4 linked regions of the Drosophila melanogaster genome follow. The protein of the gene in region 1 interacts with the protein of each later gene in a pairwise test. Each region holds a gene or a part of one and is shown on either strand. Other genes may lie near its edges. The genes, in order: CG4570, PICK1, CG12496 and CG32086.

Region 1 (6,624 bases):
CCTGATGGGCGAGTGGTATCACGTCACCCAGGACGAGGTCAACCGATCCGTTTACCCGGTGGGCACATACTCCTACCTGGCGCTCCTAATCTTCGTCTTCCTCATTACGGACCTGCTCAGGTATACAGCCCATGCATGAATGCAATCTTTATTGGCCAGCAATAACCCTCCGTTTGCGTTGCAGATACAAGCCCGTGATCATCGCCAATGCCACTACAGGCATCTGCATCTGGGGCACACTGATTTGGACGACCACTTTGAGCGGCCTGCAGGCGGTGGAGGTTTTCTATGGCTTCTACCAGGCGGGCGAGGTGGCCTACTACTCGTACATCTACGCCAAGGTGGACAAACAGTACTATCCCAGGGTGACCTCGCACACCAGGGCAGCCATGTTCGTGGGCAAGCTAGTTGCGGGAATCCTGGCTCAGATGGTCATTGGAATGAGGTGGATGAACTACAAGCAACTGTTTTACATCACCGTCACCTGTTGGTTACCAGTTAGCAAAGTGATTCAATAGCCAGTTAACCAATGTTCCCACTTTCCCACAGCTCAAGTTGCTGCGCTGCTCTGGGCATTCTTTTTGCCAAAGGTGGAGAAGAGTTTGTACTTTCACAATCGAAGCGAGGCCATAGAAGGTGGAACCAAATCGGATGGTGGTAACCTGGAGAAGGGTTCAGAGCAACCCAGTAACGAGGAAGCGAGCCAAGAAAAGAAGATACCAGCGTTGCAGCTCCTTTGGTCCCACTTCCGTAGTGCCTACACTAATCCCTTGGTGATACAATGGAGCTTGTGGTATGCCATCAGTTTGGCTGGATTTCTGCAAATCACCACCTATATGCAGGTGGTATGGAAGTCCTTCGAGAACGAACCAACAGTGAGTGAGTTTCAATAATCAATGGCTTTCTCATCCTTGAGATTTCCCCTGAAGATAGCCTGGAATGGAGCTGTGGACGTGGCCCTGACGCTTCTAAGCGCTGTGTTCGCCCTTCTCGCCGGTTATTTCCATGCTGGACGTCTGAACACCAGGAGCAGCCTGCTCTCGATGGCTCTGCTGTCGGTCCTGGAAGGAGGTTGTGTTTTGCTTTCCTGCTGGACCGATGATATATATCTGTCCTATCTTGGCTATGTGCTGTATGGAGGCCTGTTTGCCTTCACCATAACAGTGGCCAGGTAAGCAGTTCTTGATCCTTTTCCAACAGGTGAAATTTACCAAATCTCGTAATACCTTATAGCTCGGAGTTGGCCAGCAGCTTGGAGGAGGATAGCTTCGCTCTGGTGTTTGGTTTCAACACGTTCGTGGGACTCCTCCTGCAGTGCATCCTCACATTTGTCGTCGTCTCGGAAAAGGCCAATCTGAATTTGAATGTTTTTCAACAGTTTTCCGTCTACGCATTCTATTTTATAGTTATTGGAATAGTCTATTCTATTGCTGTTATATTGCAATATATATGGTCAATTTCGAAGAAACCAAAAGCAATTCAGGAGGCGAATTAACAACATACTCTAATGATGAAAAAGTGTTCATTTATCAAATAAAATTGTTATACATATTTAAAGTTTGTTTAATAAAATAATAATTGGCTTGTATTCTGAAACATTATTACTTTTAAGAAATATTTCCCAAGCTGTTGAAACATCGTTGATATTATATTGTTTTACACTTTATTAAAATGTATATGTTTTTTTATAGTTATAGTTTCAAAAAATGAAGATATTTAATCCTACGCCGCGAATCTAATCAGAGTGTACCATGTACATTATATGGCCACTACAAACTTAATAATATGTCAAATTAAACAAGATCATGAACGTCGTTATTTTCAATACAACATTCAAGAATCAGGGTGCGATTGGAATCCACAGCTTGGCTAGCAGAACTCGGTCTGATCCCCGCCGTTGCGGAGGACCGCTGAGACCCGCCACGTCATCGACTCGTAGAGCATCTCAATTTTGTCCACCATGTCCTGGTCGCTGTGCCAGACGTCGTACAAGACGGCTCGAAACTCGCTGACATTTTTGGGCGCCTGATTCTGAATCCTCGGCTGGATGATGGCCATCAATTGCTCGAGGAGATTGAGGTCATTGCAGACACTGCCCTCCGGTCCCATCAGCGAGTCAAGGAAGATCTCCTTTGGCGGCGTTGATTCGTCGACGAATTTAAGATCGTCCATGTTGAAGATGTTGCGCCAGTCGCGCACGGTCCAATCCTGATGGGCGGTGGCCCAGGCCAACCTCCTTTTTTTCGCCCCCTCACTGAGGCCGAAAGTGCTGGGCTCCTTCGGCTGTGGCGATCCTCTCGGTTGCCGTATGCCTTTGGAGCGAATCTCGCTGATCCTGCGCTGCAAGGTCCTGCGGCTGACCTCTATGCCGTGTCGGGCCAACTCCCGCTGCACATCGATGGAGGTGTAGTGCGGATTGTCGCTCAGCATTTGCTCGACAATTTGCCGGTTCTCCAGGACCTTGGGTCTGCCAACATCGCGCTTCTTTTCCTCCTCCTGCGCAACCGCCACGGGCGCCGCTGTTTTCAGTTTTTGCGGCAACCTCAGCGTGGCAGTCTTCCCCTCGAGCAGCTCACACTCACGAATGCAGCTTATCACGCTCTCCACGTCGCACTCCAGGATCTGGGCTATCTCCTCACAGCTGTTCGAGCCCTTCAGCGCCTTCACAATACTTCGAACTTCGGGAGCGAGAACCATTTCGAATCACTTCTGTACACCTCGAGTTTCACAATACCAATGATGGTAAATCGAATCCTCGATGGGCGTTTTATGCACCTGGCAGGTAAAAGTTTTTGCACCGATTTTGACGATAGTCTGGACCGTAGTTTTATGGCGAGCAAGCTGCAATTGGCGGGATTACGGCGTCATTACAGGTAAATTCAGTTGGCGTCCCTTTTTGTCTTTGGCGGCCATTCCGTTATTCGTCTGCGGCAAGACTGGCAACCCTTGTGTTAAGGGAGGATTTTCGGAATCTCATGATCAGCTGTTCGGGGAAATACCATTACTTTAACTGCAGCGTAGTTTGTTCAAACCTATTATTTCAGGATTATTTCATTCAAAACTATTTAACCCGATGATCAGTTCTGTGTTTTCCAAGTAAGGTTTAATAATATCGATAAATGATGAAAATAATAAGTTCTTAAAGAAATTCTAGTCTTTTTGTTAAAAAGTCATATTTTAATAAAAAGCTGCCTTTCCCGTGTATGATTTAAATAAAATATTACCAAGAGTACGATCTGAAATGCAAAAAACCTGTGTGGGAACCATTTAAGTTTACAACCAATTACCAAGCGCTTGCAATTGTTTTGAACATGCTATTTAATCGTTGATTTCCTTTGATGCTTTGTAGAATTACAAAAATAAATATAAAAACTTGTACATATGTAAGTGTTAGTTACCTCTACTGTAGGAAATGCAATACACCTTTTATCGAAATTTTAAAAATATATATATGCCAGATATTTAGTTTCTTGTCTTTTATGCTCTGTGTATGTTAGTTTCTTGTTTTACGTACACCGTTTTCTGGAGGGCGAGGGCAGTTTGTAAAACTATGCTCAACTTAACATATATACGCAAAGGGTGCACATTCATTTGGAATTGCAAATACCATAAAGATCAAATTTTGAGTTCGCTTAAGCTCGCTAGAGTGGCGCAGCCTTCGAGGCAGCTGATTGAACTGATAGATATTAAAGCACATAATCGGGGGGGAAGGCAACCGAATTAGCCACTTACACTAGGTGGCGATGGGACCGTAGCAGAGGGATCGGAATCGTATAATTAAATAAATAACGCTAGAGTACGCCTAATTGGTTTAGATCCATGTGCTAGGTTTTGATTTGTGTGTGTCCGTTTTTGTTACTCCATCGCTTTTGAGTGTATCTTGTGTGGGAGTGTGGAACGAAAGCTGGAGCTTGGGTAATCGAGAGTGTGGGATGGACTGCCCGTAGTTAGTCATCCAGATCTATATCGGAGTCATCCGAGTCGTAGCCTCCACGTATTGTCTTCTGTGGGCGGTTGATGAATGGTTTGCGTTTCACATCTGGTGGCTGCATCAGATCGCCCTTGTAGTCAATGGCCCCCGAGTGGGCGATGCGCCACTCCAGCATTTCGGTGGCGAAGTCGTCGCAGTTGCCCAGATCGGTGAATCCGACAATGAAGTCCTTGGTCTTGCTGTCCTTCACCAGGGCGATGGTGGGTATCACCTTGATGCGCAGTCGCTGGGTGAGGAATGGAGTCTTTTCGGCATTCACCTTGCAAAACTTGGCCTCCACGTGCTTGGCCGCGAGGATCTTCAGGTGCATGTCCACGATCTTGCAGCGCTCGGTGCTGTCGCGGTAAAAGTGGCAAACAATGTTGGGCGACTTTTTCGACATCTCGAAGAACTCTTTTTCGTCGGCCAGCTCGGTGTAGGTGCCATGACCCTGGAAAAGATTAGCAATTTTGGGGATTAATGAGATTGTTGCGCTAACAAGGTTTTCTTTGAAAGTTAATTTTTACATATATATTTAAGTTTTGAGCTATTTAAGCTGGTAGCCCAATTTGAAAACTAATTTGAATTAATCGAAGCAAGTGTCGCGAATGTCTTAAAAGTCGCATGTTGAATACCATTTGGTCATATACCACTTAGAGAACAATCTCGAAGTATCTTCAATAATTGAGTGTTGTAAGAGATGATCACCTACGTTTCTGAGCCACTCCTGCTTCTTGTTGTTCAGGTCCTTCATTTCGCGGAGCCGCTGCTCCCGCAGGACCTTTAGGTCATCCGAATCGAGGTTGTCCAGGCGGTCGAGCTGCTGGTCCAGCTGCTGCTCGATGGTCTTGGCGGCCGTGAACAGTTGGTTCTCCAGGATGTTGGCCATGTTGTCCTCTTCCAGTTGCTGCTCCTCTGCGTGTCTTGATGTTTCTCCGTTATTTGCACTCTGCGTGTGGTGTGTTCGTGTTGGCGTCAATGGTTGCGCGTGTGTGCGTGTGGATCCGGCACAAATGGAAAGGCGTAGTCATGGAGCCGCAGATGCGTCATGTTTTGTGGAAAATTCAGTTAAGTAAGGCATGTTTTGGGGAAAGCGCAGCGCATTTCGATGGAGGCGCCCACAAATCGATTATTTAGACGGTACTCACCTTTTATTTTCACTTATTTCATTGATTTTACTCCTTAAAAGTTTATTTAGACGTATGGATTCGTGTGACCGTTTGACTTTACATTGGAAAATACAAAAGGCTCCTTAATGTTCAAAATACCATGACAGTATTATTTCCCGTCAGCTGTTTCTTTACGAACCCCTGGCCACACTGCCGCCCTTTGATGGTTATTCCGATAGTGCAATATATTTAGTTGATCAAAGGTGAATTAAAGATGAAGCCAGCCTTGACAACGGTCAATGCCACTGGCAAACACACAGCCTCCGTGATATTCTTCCACGGATCCGGCGACACCGGCCCCAATGTTCTGGAATGGGTGCGCTTCCTTATCGGCCGGAATCTGGAGTACCCGCACATAAAGATAATATATCCCACGGCTCCCAAACAGAAGTACACCCCGCTGGACGGGGAACTATCCAACGTGTGGTTTGACCGCAAGTCCGTGAACATTGCCGCATCGGAAAGCAAGAAGAGCATGTCCCAGTGTTATGATGCGGTCAATCAGCTGATCGACGAGGAGGTGGCCAGCGGCATACCGCTGAACAGGATCGTTGTGGGCGGATTCTCGATGGGCGGAGCCTTGGCTCTGCACACGGGCTACCATTTGAGACGCAGCTTGGCCGGCGTATTCGCACATTCCTCGTTCCTGAACCGCGGCTCCGTTGTCTATGATTCCCTGGCCAACGGCAAAGACGAATCTTTTCCCGAGCTGCGAATGTATCACGGGGAACGCGATACTCTGGTACCTAAGGACTGGGGTCTGGAAACCTTCGAGAACCTAACGAAACTGGGTGTCAAGGGCACATTTCATCCATTGAGGAACACACTGCACGAACTGAAAACTGCCTCCATCACGGATCTGCAGCAATGGATTTATGAAAAACTACCTCCGCTGGAAAACCAAGTACAGAACAAACTCTGAGTGGCAAGTACTTACATATACTTAGGTAAACTTTAATAGTAATTTATTTATTCTTCTATTTCAGTATTTGGCATGAAACCCGTGCATTTTGAAGCACCACAGAGGCAAGTCTTTCCACCTGTCATCTTTTTATACTGCCCTTCTCCGCCATAATGAAAGCATAACTCCTCCTTGGCCGCAATATCCCTTGCTGCGAAAATACCTAAAAAATTACACATGACGAGAGAAGTCGGATCAGAATTAGCAATAAAACTTGCCTATTTTTGGTATGGGACAGTCTATTCGTACAGCTGCTATATGACAGTTCGGTTCGCAGCTGTGGTTCAGGTAGCGTCCGATGTTTCCACGTCTTGATGGATCAACGATGGTCACCTGTTGCTTCTTGTCGCTAGTGTATTCATTAAGCACCAGGATATAGTTCATCAGGCCTAGTTTTTCATTATCATGCAAGCGGCTTCTTGCCTCGGGAACCGTTAAAAGTTCTCCGGCATATTCGCAAATGTATCCTCCTTTTGTAATTTTCGCTGTAGTCCGTAGTCCTTTGGATCCGTACACGGGCGAAT
Region 2 (9,217 bases), on another chromosome or scaffold:
TTGTACACCAAAATCGATCTGGACAATGTGGAGTGCCTGAACGAGGAGACGGATGGCCAGGGAAAAAGTGTCTTTAAGCCGTACGAGAAGCGCCAGGATCTGTCCAAGTACGTGGAGAGCGATGCGGATGAAGAGCTCCTCTTCAACATTCCCTTCACCGGCAACATCAAGCTCAAGGGCATCATCATAAGTGGGGCCAATGATGACTCCCATCCAAACATGGTCAAAATGTAAGGAACAAAAGTCAAGGCTGCTTTAATATTACTATATTCATCATATATCTTATTTTTCAGCTTCAAGAACCGACCCAGGATGACCTTTGATGATGCCAGAGCAAAGCCCGACCAGGAGTTCCAGCTGACCCGCGATGCCCGCGGAGAAATCGAGTACTCACCCAAAGTGGTCACCTTCTCCTCCGTGCACCATCTCTCCCTCTACTTTCCCAGCAATTTTGGCGAAGACATAACACGCATTTACTATATAGGTAAGCTCACAACAATCTATGTTTTATCTGTGTTCCCAACTAAAACCAAGTCACTATTCAAAGGTCTTCGAGGAGAGTTCACAGAAGCTCATTACCATGGCGTAACCATATGCAACTACGAATCCCGTGCCAATGCAGCGGATCACAAGGAAAAGGCTTTCGATGGAGTCGGCAGAGCCATCCAATAGGGTTATAGAGATTAAAATTTACAATTTAATTGAGTATCTCTGTAGTGTATATATTTTGTGATCATTTAAGGCAAGAAATGTTTTTGTATTCGCTTAACTTATTGAGCATTTGTATTGCACAGATATTGTGGGCTAAATCATACTAAGTATATTGTGTGGGTGGAATCACATCGGGTCCTATTTTCATGCCCATATTGGGCACTTTATCCGAATGGATTTCAGCCGTGACCTCGGTGAACAGCTTGTCCCACTGCCAGAGATCGTCCTTCTCGTTGAGGCTCTCCTGTGGAACCAGGCAATCGGTGAGGATTGAGAGATCAAAGCCATCCACAGCTGAAAAGGCGTACTGGGAAAGCAAATCGGAATTGGCCTCCTTCAAAACAGCAGATCGTGAGGTGCCAATACTACAAATTACAACTTATTATCGTAGTGAAGAGAAATATAGCAGCTTCTGCTTACGTTGGCGGTTCTACAATCTCATTGAGCATGATTTCGTCCTTGACATCATCCATGTCTGGGATGACGGGAATGTCATCCGTTGGTATGGAATTTGTAGCCGACTTTGTTTGTTTAAAGCGCTCACTAAAATGAATTTTATCATTATAACAGTCGGTGGAAAGTGAAGTTATTGTGATAAACTTGTACTCACTCATCAAAGGAGTTTTTCTTGGACCTAAAAAGATATAGAGCAATCAGTAATGTGCCTAATTCGAGCCTAATCATACCCACTTTAATCCTTTGAGTCCAGAATCCGCCCAGCCACCTGAAATGCGACGAATGGGTGGTCGATGTGACTCGAATTCATTGTTGTATGTGGACGAGGTGGCCGTGTCCGAGGTGGTCGGTGGGGTGCCCGCCTGGACATTCAGCGTAATGTCGATGGAAATGTCCTTGGAGCCCCCAGCCGCCTGGACATCCTCCTCCTTCAGAACATCGCGACTCTTGGAGCGCCGACCCTTCCTGGCCGTCGTCTAGGGTGGCAAATAAATCGAAACTTCAATTTGCATCCATTTAAACAGGGTTACTTACCTTTCTTATGGTCATCTTGAGTTCTTCGGCCCAGTCCATCATCTTTTGTTTACGTTTATCCTCAGCGTTTCCAAGGCAACAAGTGGTCATGGTTACTCCGTGGGAATGTTCAAGTTTACTAATGGAGTTTGCCATTCGCAACGCGATGCGATAGTTTTCAAATCAGTTACCTATCGCCGATGACAGTTGGCGGAGCTTCAAGTGGCCAAAATAAACAAATATTTATTTTCTAATAACGCAAAATGCTGACGGACACGGAAGATGACTTCTTTTTCGAAGAGGATAAGATGTAAGTGGCCATTGAAAGCAATAAATTGCTGCAACACCTACGCCCAGCTCTATTTACGCACAACAATCTGTTGCGATGTGCCGAAAAGTGTCTGTTAAAAATCAATAATTGCCACCAAACTGAAACATATTGTTGGAATCAGGCCAGAACCGCTGCTCATCCAGTTGGATGGGGATGGTGCTCAGGCTGTCCGGCAGCCCAAGGAACGCACGGAGCAGCGAGAGCATGCCTCCGGTTCCGTCGCTCCCAACGAGGCCACCGTTATGCTCTGCTCCCCGGCGGGATTCTCCTGCGATTCCGCATCCGGGGACAGGTTCGGCATCGAGTCCGCCAGTAGGCAGAAGTATGAGTTAGACCGTCTGTAAGTCAACTCCGTTGACCCGGAATCGTTCCCATACTATTTCCTGTGGCAGCTCTGTTTTCTAAGTTCTGGTTTTTATAGTCTTTATCCTGTAGTTTCTACCAAATTAGCTTACTCTTGGTTTTTTATTGATTTTATTCTTTTAAATTCATAAATTGGTGTATTTATATTAATAGTAGCATATACACTTCTTTATTTAACTATTAAAAATTTAATTTTGATTCAGTTGCTGTTTTTTTTTTAATTATTTACTTTTTAAAGAGCGAACACAGTACTATATCCATTTTTTGTATAGTAAGAACTACAGAACTAGAACTAACAAGATTGTTGTTTATTTAGTTTATTAATTCCACCGAAAAAGGACAAATGTGAATTTCCTTTGTAGAGCCTTAGATGCTTATACTTAGGCTAGCTAGTATACAAACTATATTGAATTCGAGGTGTCCTTTGGCTTTCCAAGTCCCATCCTTCGAAAGCGTTAGTATCACGATGCCTTAGAATAAGCTGTCCCGATCAACAGTTTTCCCCATACAGCCCTAGCCAAACTTGATAATAATCCAATGGCCTTGCTAGAACTGGTAACATGGCTAATTAGAAAATCGCACCAATCGAAGTGAGTACGTATGGAAAACTGATATGGAATCACCAGCACATAACCATATATACTTCAAATCATGTAGCACGCGTAGATCACGCTTCAAACTATATTTCAATATCTTAACTTCTTACCAACCTTTATGCAGGGGCATGACTGTCAGCACGAATGCTGTCGTCATTACAAAGGATCAGAGCAACCTGATTGGCATCAGCATTGGGGGTGGAGCACCCATGTGTCCATGTCTGTATATCGTGCAGGTAAGTCTGAAAATCATGAACTCATAAACTCTCACAAAGATCTTTTTGCTGCCATATTCAGCTTGTTTCAAATTTAATTTACAATCTCATTTCTAGGCTGCCTGAGAATCTTTTCTAGCGGTGACCCTTGTTTGCTTCCAGGGATTCGGCGTAGCCTTGAAATTTGTCATTTTGCGTAGCTTAAAGTACTCGCTTCTTTCCCGTGCAAACCAATCGATGGTCTGCTGCTCCAAACGCCGATCCATCCGTATCCTTTTCCTCTCGTCATACACTTGGCGGCGCAGAGCACGCTCCGACGTATGGAGATGAAAAGGTTTTGGATGGGTAAAGGAGGACTTGACAAGCGGCGTAAAGGGCTGCCGGTTGAGGTAGTCCATAGAAGAGCCTGGATTGATTCGGGGCACAAAGTCGGATGTCTTTCGGCTCTGCCTTTGCTTCTTTAGGCGCTTGTTTAAAGCGACCATTGACGTGGCCAGCGTGGCAGGGCATCGGGGCTTCGTCACCGTTTGCAGAGAGTTCAGGTACAGCTTGCGCCTTTCCAAACGACGATGAGATCGCTCGAAATCGGGCACAGGTCTGCTCCGGAACTGAAACGCATTACTTTGCATGTTGGCCTCTCGTTTTAGCTTCTTGCGTTTCTCAGTGTAAACCTTCTGGAATTTGCATACCCTTGGTGTCTGTTTTCTGGTCGTCTTGAGCTTTTTGGGCTTTGCCTGGCTTTGGCCACCACCCGCCTGTGTACGCTTGCGCTGATGCTTTTGCACGTCCCGCTCCTGAAGCGCCGCCTGCAGCCTCTTATCCAACTGGTCGAATCCCGGAATCAACTTGGGTCTCGCATGGGACTCATTGCTTAAATCCTTTACGGACCAATTAAACCAGTTGGTGATGGTCATAATTTGGCTAACCAAATCGGTTTCAGTTGCGAAGGACTAATCTTAAACGATAATTTTGAAACTTAAAGTTATGAGTACTATTTGCTTGGTTTTATAAAAATGTTTACGTTTTGACACAAGTATGATTTACAAACTGTAAACAATAGCTTTCCAAAAAATGCAATGCTATAAATGTCACATCTTGTAAACTCTAGATCTTCGATGGAACACCCGCTGCTCGTGAGGGATCCCTGCAATCAGGAGATGAACTGTTGGCTGTGAATTCGGTGAGCGTGAAGGGCAAGACGAAAGTGGAGGTGGCCAAGATGATCCAGACGGCCACCGACGAGGTGGTTATCCATTACAACAAGCTGCACGCCGATCCCGAACAGGGCAAGACACTGGATATCATCCTCAAGAAGCTGAAGCATCGGATTGTGGACAATTTGTCGAGCAATACGGCGGATACGCTGGGTCTATCCCGCGCCATTCTGTGCAATGATTCGCTGGTCAAGCGACTGGAGGAGCTCGAGGGCACTGAACTGATGTACAAAGGACTCGTAGAGCATGCTCGCCGGATGCTCAAGGCCTACTACGATCTTCTGCAGACATATAAATCCTTTGGGGATTGCTTCACCCAAATATCGGTCCATGAACCGCAACAGCGGGCATCGGAGGCGTTTCGAACGTTTGGCGAGTTCCATCGCACCTTGGAGAAGGATGGCTTGGGCATCATCAAACAGATAAAGCCAGTGCTGGCCGATCTGGGAACGTATCTGAATAAAGCCATTCCGGACACAAAGCTCACGGTGCGTCGCTATGCGGATGCCAAGTTCACATATCTTTCGTACTGCTTGAAGGTCAAGGAGATGGACGATGAGGAACATGGCTTTGCTGCCCTGCAGGAGCCACTTTATCGCGTCGAAACGGGCAACTATGAGTACCGTTTGATACTGCGATGTCGCCAGGATGCACGCAGCAAGTTCGCCAAACTCCGCACCGATGTTCTCGAGAAGATGGAGCTGCTGGAATGCAAACATGCCATGGATCTGAACAAGCAGCTGCGAAGCCTGCTCGAAAGTTTGGCCGAACTTCATAGGAGTTTGGTGGATCGACTAGACTCGCTGCCACCGCTCTTTCCCATCGAAGTGGACTTCAAGGAGACGGACTTTCAGTACAAGTCGAGTACCCTGAAGCCGCAGGAGCTGGACGATGATGAAATCGAGGCCAACAATCATCCGCATTCCACTCCTTCGCAAGTCGATTGCGGTTTCGAGGCTGTCGAACAGCCGGCGGCAATTATAAATGTGGAAGCGGCCAAGGCGTCCGTTGATTCGTCCACCTTACAATCCGCCAGCGAGAACGAAACGTTGCTCAAGGAGCTGGGCCTGTACGATGTGGATCTGCTCTCCAATCCGCAGACCATTAGCAACCAAAAGGACTCCATTGCTGCCCAAAATGATGGCTACGATTTCGACTTGTTCTTGAACCAGGCGACTGCAGCCACCACCAGTTTGGAGCGCGATCTCATGTCCTCGAATGCGGAGGAGATGGACCTGCTACTGCAATAGGCTACTTAGTACAAATATTAAGTAATGTGTTAGATAAATATTAAATGTTTCAGTATTTGGTGTAGATATCAAAAAATATTAAAAGCCTTTCAATTTAATAGTAGCTTAGACTTTCATTTATGTTTTATTTCTGTAAAGTTTAACTTTATGGAAAGCAAATTCTTTGCTCAACAACTGATTTAACTTTTTACCTTTGTACTAGTTTGTTTAATTGATGGAATTTCTTATATACTATGTTGTTTGAATAAATAAGATAGTAAATAAGAAGTCCTGTATTTACAAACTTGCACATTTCGTCCTGTTTTGATTTGTGTAAAATCCTATATTATCTTATGTTAAAGAAACCACATTTTCCACACTCGACTTGTTAGTCCTGCAAAACAGTTTCACGCAGATAGACCCAATTATGGATATTCCACCCAAGACCACAAAGTAGCTACCGTAAACCACGTACTGATCCCGCGGCTCCAGAGCGAATCCAACTCGCTCCACAACCGCAACGGTCAGAATAGTCTGCAGGATCAGACCCACCAACGTATTGATACCGAAGATCAAGCCGAAACTGTCCTCCACCAGATTCTCGGCCACCACGGCACCCGCCACCGTGATGATGAAGAAGAATACGGTGCAGAAAAGCACATAGTTCACGTAGGCCACCCAGATCAACTGCGTCTTGGCGGCATAGATGAGCAGAGCGCCCAGGGCAGCGGCACAGATGGATATGCCCATCATATACGATCCCCGTCGCTTATTGGAGTTCAGCAGGCCCGCCAGAATGGCTCCAATAGCACCCAGCAGCGTGGCCACGGCCTCCACTCCGCCATTGTAAACACTGAGCTTATTCGGTGCCACCTCTTTCCACAGGAACTGGATGTAGGAGATCACCTAGAGGATTTAACATAATTAGTTTATTACACACTTAACTTCTTGCAATAAACGGCCAACTTACTTGAACTTGACCACAGGTGGCCAATGCCCACCATATGCTCCACTGCAGCACGACGGGATTGGAGTAGGAACTAACGAGGTGGTACCACAGCAGGCGGCATGCGTTGGCAAAGGAGAACTTTGGTGAGGTCTCTTCTCCGTCGGCAATGGTAATCTTCTCGGAACCCGCGTAGAAGTAGAGGCTACGCGGCACACTGGGCAGGAACAGGGACACGGCCAGGGAGATTAGCTGCGTGGCCAGCGAGAGGTAGTGCAGCTGCCGGTAATCCATGCTATCGGTGGACACCAAAATCTGGGCAAACAGGCCGCCGAGGAACTTGCCGCTCAAGATGGCAGCTCGCGTGTGGCCCGTGACTACCTGATACTGCTCCTTGTTGACCTTGGCGTACATGTACGTGTAGTAGGCCACCTCAGCGGCCGTAAAGGTGCCAAAAAACACTTGGGCCACCTGCAGCATTCCCACGGTTTCCGTCCAGATAAGCATGGAGAACAGGGTAATGCCAGCCAGTGCCGATAGCACGATAACCGGTTTGTACCTCACCAGATCTGTGATGAGGAACACAATTACCAGCTGGGCCAGCACCGAGTACGTGCCGAAGGGATACACATCCTGATAGATTTGATCCGTCGTCAGGTTGCCATAATCCGAGGCTAGGTACTCTGTGACGTACGGCTCCGAAGGTCGAAACTCCCGGAAAAAGCCAAACGTGCACAGCAGCAGCGAGATCTTCAGCCAGCTCTTCATGTCGTAAATTGCGATACCAGGTGGGCTGTTCGCATGGAGACTCGAAACTCCAAGCTCCAATCCGGCGCCAGTTGTTTCGCCAATTGATAAGTGTCGTAACCAACGCGACGAACGCCAGCCGGCAACTGATCGCGCGAATCAAGAGCGCCTGGTAGCCCATCGCTCTCCGCCAAAGCGGCTACAGTGGTGGCCAGCAGTATTCACCCACAACAACCGGAAAACCAGAATCAGGTGAATTTTAAGGGGTTCAAAAAAAATCATAAGAAAACAGCAACATTCAATATGACAGGCATATAAAATTATTTCCAACGATTACTACAACTATACAATCAACTATATTATCACAAAAAAATATATATTTAATATACTTAAAAAATAAACTATCAACAAATAGTATTATTTTTAGAAGAAAAACGCTATATAAAATATATTTTACATTCAATATTTCAAAAGTTGTTGGAAAAGATATGCACATATGAACTTATATCCAAAGCACTGCAAATTCGTAAAACAATTAATTTAAGCTACTGTTGGGCCATAAAATTCGTATATTGTTTAATATATTTACACACATACATACAAATGTTTAAATCATGCGCCCAAGTTCAATGACCGTTAACTGTTAATGCTAGGGCCACTAAAAAACATAACTTAATATTGATTTTGGTGTTATTCACAAAATTGAACACTTCATATATTTATGGCCGCTACTGTACGAGTATGACCTCAAAAGACCGTGAAATATACATTTATCTACATTCAATTAATTTGGAGAATTTCTATAATTACAACTTGACAAATTTATAGATTTGGTTACAGATCACGGAGCAGTGAAAGTTGTAAATTTTAAATAAGTTTTATTTCGGTAATTGTCGAGTAAGCAAATTTATCGCACAGCAACAAAAATTAAGATTCTTGGATTGTTCCCCATCAATTTATTGACAATTAAGTGACGCATTAATTGGAAATTTGTTGAAAGCTCAACGTTTGCTCTTGATATTCACAATCGAGAGAATGATACTCTTTGAATTTAGAGGTTAAAAATAGAGCATTCAAGTTATCACCGATAGTTCTGCTATAGCCATCTTATCTTTGTAGTCTAATCTGCAGGCACTAAATATGAATTTCAGAACTGTCTAAACACCAAAGTCGACCCTCTAATCGGTTCTACTTTACATAACTTACATAACTACATACATAACTCCGATTTGAAGGCTGATCGAGTGAACAGATTTTGGAGAGCTAATAACATGGTAATTTGTTTAAACAAATTAAGCAGATTTGCTTTCGGTAATCTTATCGTCACTGTTTTGCGGATTCTTCACAATTAATCTTAAAATAGTTCTAAAGTCAAGGTTCCCCTGAGTTGTTTAATCTACTTCCGTTTGAGGTAATCTTCGTAGAGTTTCAACAACTCTGGAGAAGTCCGCGGAGGCACCGCCTTCAAGGCGTGCTCGAAGTCCGTCCACTTGACATCCTCCGCTTCGAAGCTTTGCTCCAGGGCTCTCAGGGCAGCCTCATGGCATACGGCTTGTATTTCTGCACCGGAATATCCCTCCGTCAGCTGCACCAACTTCTCCATGTCCACATCGTTTGATATCGGCATGGCACGCAGTTTGATCTTTAAGATCTCTCTACGTGCTTCACATTGCGGTAGTCCCACGTAGAGAATTCGATCAATTCGGCCTGGACGAAGCAGTGCCTTGTCGATCATATCTGGACGATTGGTGGCAGCGACTATGGTGACATTTTGCAGTGCCTCCACGCCATCCAGTTCGGTGAGCAGTTGCGTGAGGACGCGCTCTTTTACGGACGAACCAGAGCTGGATCCGTCGCCCTCCGAACGCTCGCCACCGATGGCGTCGATTTCGTCGA
Region 3 (6,942 bases), on another chromosome or scaffold:
TTAAAATAAGTTAATTGAGTACAAATTGTTGAATTAAAAATAATATAAACCATAATTGTAATCCAATAAAATTAAAAGCCAGAAAAACTAGGCCCATTGAAATCTTAGTTGCAAAATAAATGAACATATATCAAATAAATACAGTCCACTACTGTTATAAATGCAACTAATATACTAATGTACATCTCAGCTTGCTGGCCCTTTGGCAGAATGTTCACACATGAACACGAATATATTTAAAGACTTACAATTTTGGGCTCCGTTCATATCTTATGTAAATGAATCGAGAGCGATAAATTATATTTAGGATTTTGTTATCTAAGGCGACATGGGTGCATTGCTCAAAAACATGTAATTTAAGTGCACACTACATGAGTCAGTCACTTGAGATCGTTCCCCGCCTCCTAAAATAGTCCCTTAGTGGGAGACCACAGATAAGGTCCTCGCCGCTCAAGATAGGCAGATGTGCCCGAGCGTGGGACCTCGATAAGGCGGGGACTATTTACTTAGGCCTCTGCGTAGGCCATTTACTTTAAGATGCGATTCTCATGTCACCTATTTAAACCAAAGATATTTCCAAATAAAATCAGTTTCTTACAAAAACTCAACGAGTAAAGTCTTCTTATTTGGGATTTTACAGTAGGGCTCCTGCGGAACAGCGACAGGTACTGGCATGGTTATGAGTATAGGTAAAGGATACTATCCATACCGCACTCAAATCGAGTTACAGTGCCAAAAAGTGTGTGCGAGGGCGTCAACGTGCCAACAAGTGTCATGTGCCGAAGGATTAGAGATGACGTGTGTGCCAAAAGTCGGAGCATGGAAACATAGCTAGATTTTTCACGGATGATCTAGCAGAACACTGCAGTTTCCATAATTTGATTTCGAAACATGGACATCTGCAAGGGTGCCTACGATTTTTTTTTAATAGGATACTAATATGTGCAAAACGGTTTCTGGTTGGATTACTCTAAGCTCTAAAGCTCGCAGACAAAAGCGAAAATCGGGGGTTGATTTCGTTTCGATGACTTTAAAAAGTTCATTTGCTGTAAAATATGATTTTGAAATGGATTTAAATTATGATAAGCGAGTGTCCGCAAAATGTGTTCTCTTTAAAAGCGGTCACAATGAATATTTAATAACATATCGTCATATAGTTCGATGGGAAAATAGCCAATTGAGCAGCACAGCGGACGCAGAGTCCTGAGTCCTCGGAAACAAGGAGTGGACCAGCTGTTGGCTGCCTCTGACTTCTTCTTTTCTTCTTGATTGTAGATCCCGGGGCGTGCCATTGTACCTGTCAGGCATTCAATTATTCCCAGTTCCCAACCTGCATCGCCGTTGTTTGTTTTGGTCGCCTGGAAAAGCAAAGCAAATCGCTTGGTCAAGCAACTGTGTAAATATATGTTGTACGTATCGGCAGGTCAAAATGCAATCGGCACGAGCTGGGATATTGCGTAGGTGACGAAGGTCACCGCAGATGTTTCGCATTCATCAGAAAACTCGATGCGATGCTATGGCACAACAAAAATGATATTTGTTCGTATCTCGAAAATAGTTCAGAAACCAACTATAAACCTAACATTTAAAGAGTAGATTCCAATGGATACATGAGAAAACATTTCTAGACTATGAAGATAGTCTAGTCTTTTTCAAATATCACCATTTTGAAATCAATACAATCCCATATCCCTATATTGGGCAGTACGCATGGAAGTAGCCAAAGTTACTCAAAAAAGCGACATTAATGATGATAAGCTGATATATAAAGTTTTCCCCGTTTCAAAAGAAAAGAAAAGTGTACTCCATTGTTTTTGATTTAATGCTTTTATTTTGAAAAAATAATTATTTGGGTAACTTAAAGTAGCAATAAATATTCATATTTGTTTAAAATTAAATAATGAAAAAAAAGGTATATTCGAAAACTACATAACAGCAGCAAAAAAAAAAATGGTTATATTAGTAATTGGAATAAATAGTGATTAAGGTGGCCTAAGAAATTATGTACAGTAATTGAAAGATGATTAGTTTACGACTTAGGAACTAGTTAAGCGTCATAGTTAAGCGTTTTCCCCCCGTTTGTCAGCGTTGCTCGCTTTCTCGTCTCCATCTTCATCTCCATCTCGCATTTAGTTTCTCTTCTCATTTTTGTGGCTTTCCGAGGATCTGTTTGAAATTACCTCTGCTCAGACATATATAGACGAGGGCAGGGCCAATCCCACCTCGAAGTAATTGCGCTCGTCGACCTTGTAGCGCTTAATGGGGGACTCCTTGGCGACGATCTCCTTGCGGGTCCTCTTCAGGGCCTTGACTGGAGTCTCCAGGCAGAAGGTGTTGTCGCAGGGGGCAGACTTGGGGGCCACTGGAGTGGCCAGTTGGACAAGCAAGTTGTGAGGAATCTTGGCCAGGGGCGATGCCGGTTCCGGAGTGGGCATCAGGTTGTGCATGGGCAGGGGAACCAGGCCAAAGCTCAGATCCGAGGCCGGATCGTCTCCAGGTGCGTAGGATGGCGACAGCACCTCCTGGGGGCAGTTCGACTCCATTTGCTGCTTGACCAAGGTGCGTCTGCGCAGATTGAAGGTGGACCTTCTCGGCTTCTTCTTGCTGCTGGCGTTCGCCTTGCAGGCGGAATCCAAGATGGCATCGATTAGGCGATCCAAGGTCTGATCACCCATCTGCGTGGAGGCGGGCTGCGGTGTGCTTGGACGCACTTCCACCTTGGGGGTGGGTGGCTCTGGCACTGCCGTCTCCTGCAACTCCGGCTCCAAGGTGGCCACAAAGTCCTCGTCCAGTCTACGCTGCTTGAGTTTGTTAACTCCTGCACCCGAGCCTACAATATAGCGCGGCTGGCCCAGAAAGGGATCCAACGGAGCCAGGCCCCTCAGCGCCAAGTGCTGACCACTGGGCAGTCCGTTGGGCGAGTAGTCCTCGGCAAAACGTGGCAATGTGGTGGCGTATCGCACACTCTGTACCCTTTGGGGCGCCTGACTGCGCACCACCGCCTCCGGGGTGACATTCCGGATATCGCTCAGCGGCGCCAGGACCAGGGGACTGTTGCGCAGCCGGGTAATGGGCACTGGCGTGGAGGTGTAGCCCACGGTGTCAGGCACGTTCTCCTTGTTGGCAATGGTGGCCCTCCGCTGACGGCGCTGCCTCCTCTGCAGCCTCCTCCTCTGCGGCTGGTTGGCATCCTGATCGTGCACGGGAATCTCGTTCAGGCGCTGCGCCGATGCCGTCCACTTCAGCATGTTGTGTGTGGTTCTGTTTCTGCTGCTCCTGGTGCACAAAAAAAAAAGATGTACTTCTAGACTCTGCTAGTCTTCTGCTCTCGACCGCTCTCGCTGACAAACTGAAGCGGTACGGGGAGCGGGCTGCGTTTTATACCCGCTCGGCGCTCAGGGGTTAATGGCTAGGGGTTACGGGGCTAGGGGTTGTTGCGCAAGAGGCACCCCGGCGGGCAGAAGGACACTCGCTCTCTCCGGCGTTCTCTCCTTGGATGAAAAGACTCTCTTTGGCCAACGGATGTGTGTGGTAGCAAATTGTCTTTGGATCTCGAGGAACTTGAGCAACAAGCTCGAGGATATCAGCAGCTTAGCTTAGAATATGAAAGTATGATCTCTATGCCAACGAGATCTGATATTTTGATGGAGGTATTGGAGGTATTCGTCCTTTCCCACAGTTCGCAGTACCGGCCGAGAATCACCCACTCCAATCCAGGCACTCATCCACAGCACCACCACACGAAAATGACATCTAGATGTCTATCGGCCAGCGCTTGGTTATTAAATTTGCTTTCATTCCCCTCAAGGAAGTCTGCTTCCTTTCGCCCTTGTCTCCCCCTCATTTGAATGGACATTTAGAGCAGCAACAGGCTGGAAAATAGTGAACGGAAAAGGGAGAAGGGAAGTCAGGTTGGCCGGCTAATTAGCCGATGCCAAGTCCAACTTCCTGGCCGACAGCTCCTCGTCATTTTAGCCACTTGTCGTAGCGCGGTATCAGTATTAATTGCGGCTCTTTAGCGGCCGCAAATGCAATTTATATACTCGGCGGCTTTAATTGAAAATGTTTGCCACTTCCGGAAGGAAGCATTAGAAAAACGTTACAAACTCTGGGAAAAGTCCTGTGCAAAGCGTCAGTTGCTCACCCAACAGGGGAAAAGTTTGTACACAGTATGCATTATCAAATTATCAACTTTTTAATAAGTGTTCTTTCTACAAATAGATGGGCCTCATGCAATGCAAATTCACAACTTGTATGGATTTAACTTTGAAATGTAAATGTAAAAGGAAATGGTTCCCATAACCTTTGTAGTGATCTATATTTTAAAGCACAGCCGCTGTCCTCCATATGAATATGAAATATGGAACCAATAAGTAGATTATATTTCCGATGACAAGATCAAAGATAACTGCCCCCATATGTGGCTCTTGACCAGCTGTAGATGAAGTGATCATCGAGATCCCTGAGTGATCTTCAAGTGATCATCGACCAGCGATCCTAAGTGACGTTCAAGTGATCGGCGCTCGTCATCTCCTGGACTTGGATCACTCAAAGTGTCCGTGACCGACGTGGCTTGCTATCTGACGTTCTGATCTAGTTCAGCATGTAAAGGCATCTTTGAATGGGTTCTGGTCCCCTGGAGATATCTTTATTTGCGATCGATTGCTGAAAGATTTTCGCTAACGGGGATCGTATATTTCGCACGTTATCCTTTTCGGCTTTTTTGTGGTGAAAGTCGTTTTGTTTCATATGTTTTCATGTGACTATCTTCCGATCGGCTTTCATCCTGGATAGGGACACAAAAAGGGTGCTGGGGTAGTTAATCGATTACCCCGTTCCATCCACTGAAATGGCGAATTTCTCAACTTTTCAACTCTTTTTCAACGTTTACTTTGCGAAATGCGCTCCTGCTTTTGCTTACTTTTTACCTCTTTTCCCTTCGATTTGCCCTCGTTATGTCCCCGAGTCCTTCGATTCTCTTTGTGGCGCTGAGTTATTGCTGTTTACACAGCCGCACAAAAGGATTAAATGGGTTTTTGAGAGAGTTTCCAGCGCTAAGAAAGGATTCCGGCATGTTGATTAATATGATTTAACGAGCATCCTGCCTAACAAGGCGTATCCCGGCTAGTCTTCACCGGCAATTTCCACACAAAATTACCATAATCCTCGCATTTTCTGCGGTTTTTTTGGGACACAACGAAACACAAATGGATAAAGAACCACACGAAAACCTCTCAAATTCAATTTGAATTTTCGGCATTTCGTGTGCGACGATTTTACGCTTAATTAACGAGCCCAAGGACCCTGCCTCAAGGACAGCCCGAAGTCACGATCCAGTCCCGATCGCTGTATGCAAATTGCCCATGCATTTTTTACCGCTCCGCCCGGGCTGCATCTCCCGTCCCTTTCCCCTGCACGCGTGCTCGAGCGAGAGCGCGTCGCCAAGAGCCACTTGACTTTCACTCTCACTCAGCCGTCGTCCCGAGGTCCTGCGCTCCTGAGGTCCTGCGCCGCGGTTCCAGAGGGATTTGCATGCTCGAATGCGAACTCGCGAATCCGCTAGAGATGCGTGCTCACCCCGTTTACCATTAAGATGTGAAGAGTAACTAGGTAGCACCTCCTAAGATTAGGACTTGACGTTAACAGCCCATTGATTGCGATATATGTTTTAAGCTCATATGTTGTAAGTTAGTCGTGTTTACTTGGACAATTGTGTGTGCATTCCAAGTGCTAAGTGCGAGCGACAAGGCTTACTTACCCCTTGAATGTGTGAATTAGCTACTCGAACGTCTCTGGCAGGCTCGATCGCTATTACCCTCCCCTTCGAACGCCTTTGCATATGTGCTTACATGCAGATCGGCCACTTTGGCTGGATCCAACAGATAGGGCTGCTTTATTGTTGCCGCATTTGATTAATGCGCCCGTGTTTGTATTGTTTGCGAAATTTATCGATATTTGATTTGCTGCGCGCCGCCTGAAATGGCATTCAAAGTGCCCAAAGTGTATCAAATGCTTGTCGCGCGGCTTTGTTTGCGTTTTGCATAATGGAGGGAAAGTGTTTGCGAAAGGGGAAAGTTCGCATATTGCCATGCGATGCATTGGGCGGTAGGAATGTAGGAAAGTAGGAAAGTGCCAGTTTGCGACTTCATTAACGCGCTGCGAAAAGGTTGTGGGGATTTCATGCTTTACGACTCTAAGCGGAAACCACAAAAAAGTGAAGCCATTAAATCATAAATGAGCTGAAATGATTAATTGATTTCATAACTTTTACGCTGGCATTTTCGCTGGCGGCAGGGGACTAAAAATGACTGGCACTATATAAAGGATAAATTGCCAAATGGCAATAGCAACACGGGCCCCTGGCAAATATCATGTTTATGCTCATAACTTTCCAACTCAAAAGTCGACCAACTGTCAACTGTCAAATACGAGACAGTTTCGCAAACGGATCCTGGCCATTTGGGGTGGGGGATGCTCTCCTAAGGACGACGACTGAGACTCGAATTGTGACCCTGAAAAAATAAAGAAGAGGCAGCGCAAACTGGAACACACGAAAGGACACCCAAAGGATGCGTCTGAGGCAGACAGCGCAAGACAATGGATGCCATAATGAAGAGCAGATACAGATACAGATACAGATACATATAAAAATACAAGCGCGAGCACGGACGGAGATCCTGATACACAGATACAGATACAGATACGCAACGGGAGATGTCTGCTGCATCCAAGGAGCAGAAAGTAAATTGCAACAAAGGAACGCCAGGGAAAGGATGCGAAGTGGGCAAAAAATCAGAGGCCGGGGCTGAAATTATTGCAAATAATTTAGAGCACATATTGCAGGGATCCGAAAAAAAGGATCCGACTGCCGATCCCTTTTCGGTTTGTTCGATTGTCATTTGCCCACAGCAAAAATCAGCAAGGACTCGCAGGAGCAAACCC
Region 4 (7,056 bases), on another chromosome or scaffold:
TATGATGAACCAAATAGAAGGAACTAAAATAAAATTCATCTGCTCCAAAATCGTGAAATACCATTTCACATTAGCCAACCAAAATTAGACCAAAATTTTAAAACAAGGAGGAATGTATTTTTTTGAAATGTTTATTTTGATGGTGTAAACATGTCCAGCTCAATTTGCTGTTTTCCTTCGGGTCACAATAACTTTAGTCTTGTGGGCATGTGTTGAATTCGTAGCTGAAGCTGCCAATTGAATGGCCAAGGCGATAACGAGGAACACGTAGAGGAACTTCATCTTAAATGATCCTGGAATTTTATGGTGCTTCTCAAATGAAGGTAGAAACTTTTGTGATTAACCAATGTGGAATCATAATCTTTTATACTTTAATTTTTTAATAGTTTTCTTCTTGTTTGCACCTTGTAAGCACATATGGTTAGTAGTCAGTTTAAAATGATTTCCTTATTAAGATAGGAAGTCTCTTAAGTTGGTATAATATTTATTTATCTATTAAAGTTCCAATTATAGTAAAACAGCTGTTTTACACATTAAAGTAACCTAAAAATGAAGTGAGTAGAAGTGGTAATTCAGATGCATTAAAATGTTTCAAATTCAGTTTAGATAATAAATAATTTAATGGACTTTTAAGAATTGAGTATTGCCTGGAAAAATAGAAACTTCTGTGATGTTGCTTCTATTTAAAACGATTATTTATTATTCTTTTTATTTATTATTCTTTAAATTCATAATAAAATAAGAGAAACAGCTGAAGTCCAATTCCTCGACTATCAGATACCTATTACTCAGAGTTTAGCTTGCACAAGTGTCTAGTGGAAAATGAAGTAGAATGTTTTTATTCCGAAAATATATGTAAAGGCAATTTTTTGCAATTTAAAGGCGATGAAACTATTTCTTTAGAAAATTGGCGACCGATAGACTAAATCGGCTATATATTCTGATAAGGCATATGTGTACAATACAATAGGATCGAAAACTTTTTAAGTGTTACCTACTTTTAAACACACATTGCATACCCATTTACTATGCGTTATGAGTTAAGGGTACAAATACTACTTAAAATAATTTTATAGATAAAATGAAAATATTAGGCAAAATTCTTTTAAAAAGAATTTCTTTATTTCAAAAACTACTAGTGCAGCTTAATTTTTCCTGTGGGTCACAATCACGATGGTCTTGTGGCACCTCTTTGGGTTCTTGCACTTCCGCTTGGGAATGCGGGTGTGGCACCAGTTGTTGCCCCTCCAACAAAGCTTTTTGTGAGTGGAAGCGGCCGTTGTTGTTGTTGTGGTCGATGCTGCAGTGGTGGTTGTTGTTGTGGTGGTGGCATCAGTTGTTGTTGTATTACTAGAAGATGAAGCCACCTGGATGGCCAGGGCAATAAGGGCAACCACGAACAGGTATTTCATCTTTGATGTTATTGTTGGTTATGTTGGTTAGCTGGCAAAGCAATTGATATTAGACTTGGCTTAAAAGCGGCGAAGGGCTGTTGTGATCAACTGATGTTGAAGTCACCCCATTTATAGTTCTCCAGTAATTTCCGGATTTAGAAAACTAGTATTAATTTGATTTCCTAACTGATCACAGAAATTTAAATATTTGGTCGTAAGACACCAGCTTTGAAAGTTTAATGCTGTAGCAAATATTTGCTTCACACAAATGACAGCCCAAACTTATGCTATAGTTTATTTTTGTTTATTATATATTTGTTTGTCATGGTAAATTGTCTAAGTATTATGTAGATATGGCCTCTATTTTGTTGTGCATTTCAGTACGAAACTGCGTGACGGATGCCATTTCATTTTGGTCCTTGAACTTAGTCATTAGACTCTGCCAAATAGCTTCGAATTTATCAGTTGTTACGAGACTTCTAAAGATACGTTCGATTTCCGCTTTGGGCCGCAAACAGGTGAAATCACTGTGAGTAAGGCCACGTAAAATGGCCAAATCCGGTGTTATAAGATCCTTGGCAGTTGTTTTATTCCCTTCGAGATTCTGGCTAATTGCTCCCGTATTATCCTTTGACTTGTTTTGAAGATCGGCGCAGAGCAAACGATATGTGGTGTCCAGACAACTAACATCGGATACATTGGTCAAGTTTCCCGTTTTCGGCAGAGAATTCTGAATCGAGAGAAGTCGAAAGAAATCTACATAATTCACCCGCTCCGTGGCACAGCCCTCGTCCACAATCAGCCGAAAATTGGACAAGGCCAGACGGATTTTTTGCGCATCCAGACGGATGTGAAAACTTCTGAAAATTTCCAAGATGCGTGCCAGTGGCAAGTGACCCGTTCCATCCGTGTCACTCCTCTCCAGCACTGAATTTAGTGCGTACTTGTGAAATTCCAGCTGGTTCCTCAAACTATGACGTTTTTTGTTCAAATAGCGTATGGCATCTAGTAGCCGGTTGGTTTTGTAGCAGGGTTCAATATTATTTAGCAGCATCTTCACATCGCCATTGCTGCGCAGAGGAACACCGAAAGTTATGTCGGGCACCGCAAAAGTGTACCTACAGACAGTCTAAAACTATTAATCAAAATCTATATCTATCTATACTTACTTTTTGTTTCGCATTCCGAGGGGTGCCTCGTTTCGATCCATAAAGTCCACTTGCGCCTTGCCAATAACCTTCAGGTGGTTCTCACCTTCCTCCAGACATCGCTTCACTTTCAGTCCAAAATCGCCGTGAGTATGTATATCTCCACAAGGTGATTTTCGATCAAATGGTTGGGCATATCTAAAAAATATTTAAGACGTTCATTAAATATGCACCATTGCATTTGTAGTGACCAATAGCTTGACCTGCGGTTAACCTGCTCCGAAGGAAAGTAGTGATTGTGGCTGATGATGTACTTGTCGTGGAAAGCCTCGTACTCCTTATTAACTTGCTCCGCCGACTTGGCCGGCAATATGACGTCGTAGAGACATTCATTTTGTGATTGACTCGATGGACTTCCGAAGGTTTGGCTTATATTGGTCACGTCTTCCGGTTTGGAGTACGTTTTCTTGACCCCACCCAAAGTGGCCTTTTTGAAGTACATTTCCTCGTAGAACTTCTCCTTGAAGGACATAAAGCGCGACTTTTGCAACTCGCTGGTGAGCAAATCCCGGATGCTGCTGCTGGGTTGAACGGAACCGGCTGGGAACTTCTGGGATTTTTTATTGATCTGCCCGTAATTGCGCCTAACTAGACTCTCAGCCAATTCTTCTGGATTGCTAATACTAAGACAAACTTTTACACCTTCCGCTCCATCTAATCCACTGGTGGACAATCCTGCAGTCGGTATATTTGCATTTCTGTCTATAAAGTGTCCCTTATTGGCCATGTTTATGAGTGTATTTATGTATATAGTGTGGGTTCAAGTGTTTTCAGAGTGCTTATACATATTACTGAGTGATAAAGCAGAACATCTTAAATAAATAAATAATTGTATTTATTGGTCTTGTAAATGAGTATGTTTACATGTCAAATAATTTATGGCTTAGTATTAGTTCAACTTTAGCTAGTCGTCTAGTCTATTGTACATGGTACTAGTACATCATTGCACGTCTCTCTCTGGCCGCGGAGATGGCATCTGTTTTTTCAGTACAGGTGGTGGTTCTTGTGCAGGACAAAGTCCCAGGTATCCTTCCATCGAAGACTGCGAACCTCATTTAAAGTCATTTTTCTCGCACCATAACTGAATGGTATAAACTTTGAGAAAATGCTAAGCACGCCCACCAGCCACAGGATTAGCATGAGGCGATAAAGGCGCACCAGATGGACACCACGTCCGGTGCAGAAGCGCCTGAGCAGATAGTCCAAATGCTCCACGACAAAGCACAATAAAAGTAACTTAAACACAAAGGCTGGCAAGTAATTGTGCAGGAAGAGTGTACGATCCACACAAAAATACGGAATATAGTGCATCACGTAGCCCATAAAAAAGGTGTCACCAGCTAATACGAATCGCTGCCACTCTTGCTCCGAAATATCAAAGCAAAGACGTTGCCGCCGCATCGCGTAGAAGGCGAGTAATCCGGCATAGACAAGTATTCCCATGGTGGCTGTGTACCAGAGTAGTATGTTTCCCAGCAAATAGATCTGCGCACTCGACTGTGAGTCCAACCAATAAGCGATGCCCTTGTCCATTAGCGGCCACTCGTGCGGCATCGAGCTGTACATGTGATTTGGCACTGACTTCGTTTGGAACAGCATCTTGGATTGTAGCTCCAGTAGCTTGGCCCAGAACGAGATGCGCGTCCGCTTTGTGGGTATCATCTCGGCAGTTAGCATCTGGCGCTCTCGCTCCCGATGATCCTCAGCTATAAAGGGTTGTAAATGAGGATAACGTATTTCTTCAAGTATCTCGAAGAGGACTTACTCTGTGTATAGCGGTGCTCCTCAACATTCCAAATGGCATCCTCATGTATTGCCTTTTCACGATCCGCCACCACCTCGTGCTGATTGAAACCCCATTCGGGAAGTTGGCGCCCACTGAACTTCAAGGAGGCTTCTGTGGACACGTGAACGAGGCGGACCTCCGACTTGATGGCATGCCAAATGTCACCTTCGGAATCGCGATTCAGAATCTCCACGCGCCACAACAGTTCACCGGCCATTTTGATCTCGTAATCTATGTAGCAGCTGACTTCTTGGCACTGCGGCGTCATTGCCGCAGCCACATCGTGTGAGTTCAGAGCTCGGCTCGTAATTCCATGGACCAACTGAATAATTTCACCGTGCCGAATGATATCCGGCTCATCACCCACCACCAGGTTCTCCTTTGTTGGTCGCTTAACCAGCCACCAGTTGTTCACATCCTTGAAGGAGTAGCAGGTGACCTGCTGCTGGTGGGAGGAGCCTCTCTTGTCCGGATACCGCACCGGATAGACAGCTGCATGCGAGTGCAGCCAACAGGTGCGTCCGTGGGTGTGTCGTAGTGTGATTTGGGATCCATGAACCACTGCCAATGGCTGTCCTTTTGTGATCGATGCCAATCCTCCATCTAACGAGGCCTGAAACGCGCTAGTCATGATGCTATCATGCGGTCCAGCCCGGTGCAGCGTCTTGAAGTGGATATAGAAGACTCCCAAGTAGACCGCCAATGGAATTCCAACAAAGATTAACAGGCGACTTATGGCATGCATCCATAGCTGGCGATCTTGAAAAAAATGGTTTTATTTTGATTTATTCAATCTCTATTATTATATCGTAAATCGTATTTGTAAATCTCAGAAAAAAAGGTATCTTACCGGTGAGACCGGCGTCGTAGAGCAGTTGCCACAGGTGTCGACACAGCAAATAAAAGGCTAGCCCCAGTGCCAAGAATCCGACGTACTTGACGGTTCCGGCGGCTCCCAAACAGACGGCAGCTGCCGTTCCAGTAAAGAACCATTCCAGGCTGCCCAGGCGACTTCGTTGGAAGCGTAGCAAACAGGCGATGCCCACCGTGGTGGCCAGCAGAAGCATTGATTCCATCAGAACAAAACGGGATTGCGTCAGCAATGAGTTGTCCAGGACCACAAGCAGGCCACCCAAAGCGGATGACCAGCGACTGAGCTTCGCCTCCAGCAAAAGATTGTAAACGGCGGGGGCCAGTAGACTGCCGCACATGGCTGGTAGAAATCGGAACCAGAAGATGGGCATTTCCGGGGAATAGGGCTCTCCAATGCGGGTAAAGGTGTAATTGCCATCGTAACCAGCCAGGCTGACCAGTCCGGCGATCAGCTGTTTGCCCAGCGGTGGATGTTGATCGAAGAAGAAAATGTTTCGCATGTACATGGAAATGTACTTGCCGTAGTGGAGTTCATCGAATCTGTTGGGTAGGAAGTATTTTACTATGAATCTTGAAAATATTATAAAGACATAGGCATAAATCATTTGAGCTATAAATGCAAGACTTAAATGTAATGCAATGAACTTAAATGTAAGACTCTGCTCTCGCAGATTAAATTAATAAACAAAAAATCTAAGACATTGTTATGTGTGTATTTTTTTCATTCAGCGGTGACCCCATTTGCAGGTTTGTTATTGTTTTTCTACTCACACGATGTGCGGCGGCGTTGCCAGCTTGTAAAAACGCGTGCCGAAGGCCAAGAGAAAGAGTGTCCAACTGAAGAGATCGATTCTCAGGTTAACGGTAAATGGCTGCGAACTCGCATTAGCGGTTTTTCTCTCTTCTGCGGATGCTGCGCCAGCGCTGTTCTTGTCGATTTGTTTTTGGCAGGAGAGCGAGCGAGACCGAGACGGCGAAGGCGAGCGTGAGAGGGAGCGCGAACGATCGGAGGTAGGCGAGGGGGAGGCTTGTTTTGGCGTCGCTACCGGCGTTGGCGTCGCAGTCGGGGTCGGCGTTGGCGTCGTGTGCCGGTTAACGCTGCCGCGGAGCGGCGCATTCAAATGACAGTTGACGTCGACGCAGCAATTGAGCATTGTTAAAGCACGAGCGCCGTTACAGCACAGTGGTGAAGGTGAGTTGCTGATTGCTGTGTGTTGTTGCATCGAGTTTGTTGAACGGCTGCGAAAGTGAAGTCTTTCGTTTGACTCGCCGCTCAAATCGCTGCCTGTCCATTGGTGTTGTTGTTGCTGCCTCACTTTGGCCGTCTTGCGGCGCTGTGTAATTGTATTGGTGTAGGTGGCAGACATAACGGCTTCGTAGTTTTTGTTATTTTTTTAAGGTGCGATTTGCTTTGCGGAATTTAGCGGGCATTTCTTCCTCGCATTGTTTTTCTTACCCACTTTCACTGATCAATTAGCATTCGTTAAACATGAGATAATCAAACCAGCGATTAGTTGTTTCACTTTTTGTTATGTAAATTTTTTATTTTGCCACGTTTTCCTGCTAACAAAAAAACTGGTTTTGCACTTTCTACACTCCACTTGTCTCGCTGGCTCTTCGCCTTGCAGCCTTCTTGGTCGATTTGCATTTACATACAAACGATGGCCAGCTGTTGAAGAAAGTTTCGATGCCGAATTATTCCCACAAACACACTCTCACGGAAGTAAAATAACTATCTTTTCCCGGCCGACCACTTCTCGGCTAAAATCGCAACCTGCACGGTAAAGATCTCGCG

What was found.
Region 2: the proteins of CG4570 (region 1) and PICK1 interact in a two-hybrid assay, tested with the Drosophila melanogaster proteins (one large-scale study listed by BioGRID).
Region 3: the proteins of CG4570 (region 1) and CG12496 interact in a two-hybrid assay, tested with the Drosophila melanogaster proteins (one large-scale study listed by BioGRID).
Region 4: the proteins of CG4570 (region 1) and CG32086 interact in a two-hybrid assay, tested with the Drosophila melanogaster proteins (one large-scale study listed by BioGRID).

Annotation. Positions count from the first base shown.
Region 1 is NT_033777.3:10,853,091-10,859,714, reverse strand, and holds CG4570 (uncharacterized protein), read right to left. Parts: upstream 2,909-6,624; 5' UTR 2,698-2,908; coding exon 1,870-2,697; 3' UTR 1,649-1,869; downstream 1-1,648. Other genes in the region: CG14694 (uncharacterized protein), read left to right, coding at 1-120, 185-486, 550-875, 930-1,171, 1,234-1,495; CG4511 (uncharacterized protein), read right to left, coding at 3,948-4,421, 4,683-4,859; CG6567 (uncharacterized protein), read left to right, coding at 5,354-6,061; CG4565 (uncharacterized protein), read right to left, coding at 6,109-6,263, 6,319-6,624.
Region 2 is NT_033779.5:12,693,173-12,702,389, forward strand, and holds PICK1 (protein interacting with C kinase 1), read left to right. Parts: upstream 1-1,860; 5' UTR 1,861-1,943; coding exon 1,944-1,990; intron 1,991-2,132; coding exon 2,133-2,351; intron 2,352-2,663; exon of another isoform or gene 2,664-2,968; intron 2,969-3,019; exon of another isoform or gene 3,020-3,094; coding exon 3,095-3,206; intron 3,207-3,253; exon of another isoform or gene 3,254-3,298; coding exon of another isoform or gene 3,299-4,099; exon of another isoform or gene 4,100-4,151; intron 4,152-4,293; coding exon 4,294-5,649; 3' UTR 5,650-5,745; downstream 5,746-9,217. Other genes in the region: CG6153 (uncharacterized protein), read left to right, coding at 1-230, 294-484, 548-672; IFT43 (intraflagellar transport 43), read right to left, coding at 815-1,076, 1,132-1,254, 1,322-1,345, 1,402-1,643, 1,702-1,740; CG5781 (uncharacterized protein), read right to left, coding at 3,299-4,099; CG17036 (uncharacterized protein), read right to left, coding at 5,980-6,534, 6,599-7,342; CG5776 (uncharacterized protein), read right to left, coding at 8,718-9,217.
Region 3 is NC_004354.4:2,407,549-2,414,490, forward strand, and holds CG12496 (uncharacterized protein), read right to left. Parts: upstream 3,354-6,942; 5' UTR 3,249-3,353; coding exon 2,187-3,248; 3' UTR 1,817-2,186; downstream 1-1,816.
Region 4 is NT_037436.4:11,580,705-11,587,760, forward strand, and holds CG32086 (uncharacterized protein), read right to left. Parts: upstream 3,361-7,056; 5' UTR 3,330-3,360; coding exon 2,806-3,329; intron 2,741-2,805; coding exon 2,564-2,740; intron 2,513-2,563; coding exon 1,738-2,512; 3' UTR 1,697-1,737; downstream 1-1,696. Other genes in the region: CG43391 (uncharacterized protein), read right to left, coding at 160-282; CG33269 (uncharacterized protein), read right to left, coding at 1,146-1,412; rt (rotated abdomen), read right to left, coding at 3,587-4,308, 4,368-5,147, 5,239-5,801, 6,033-6,628.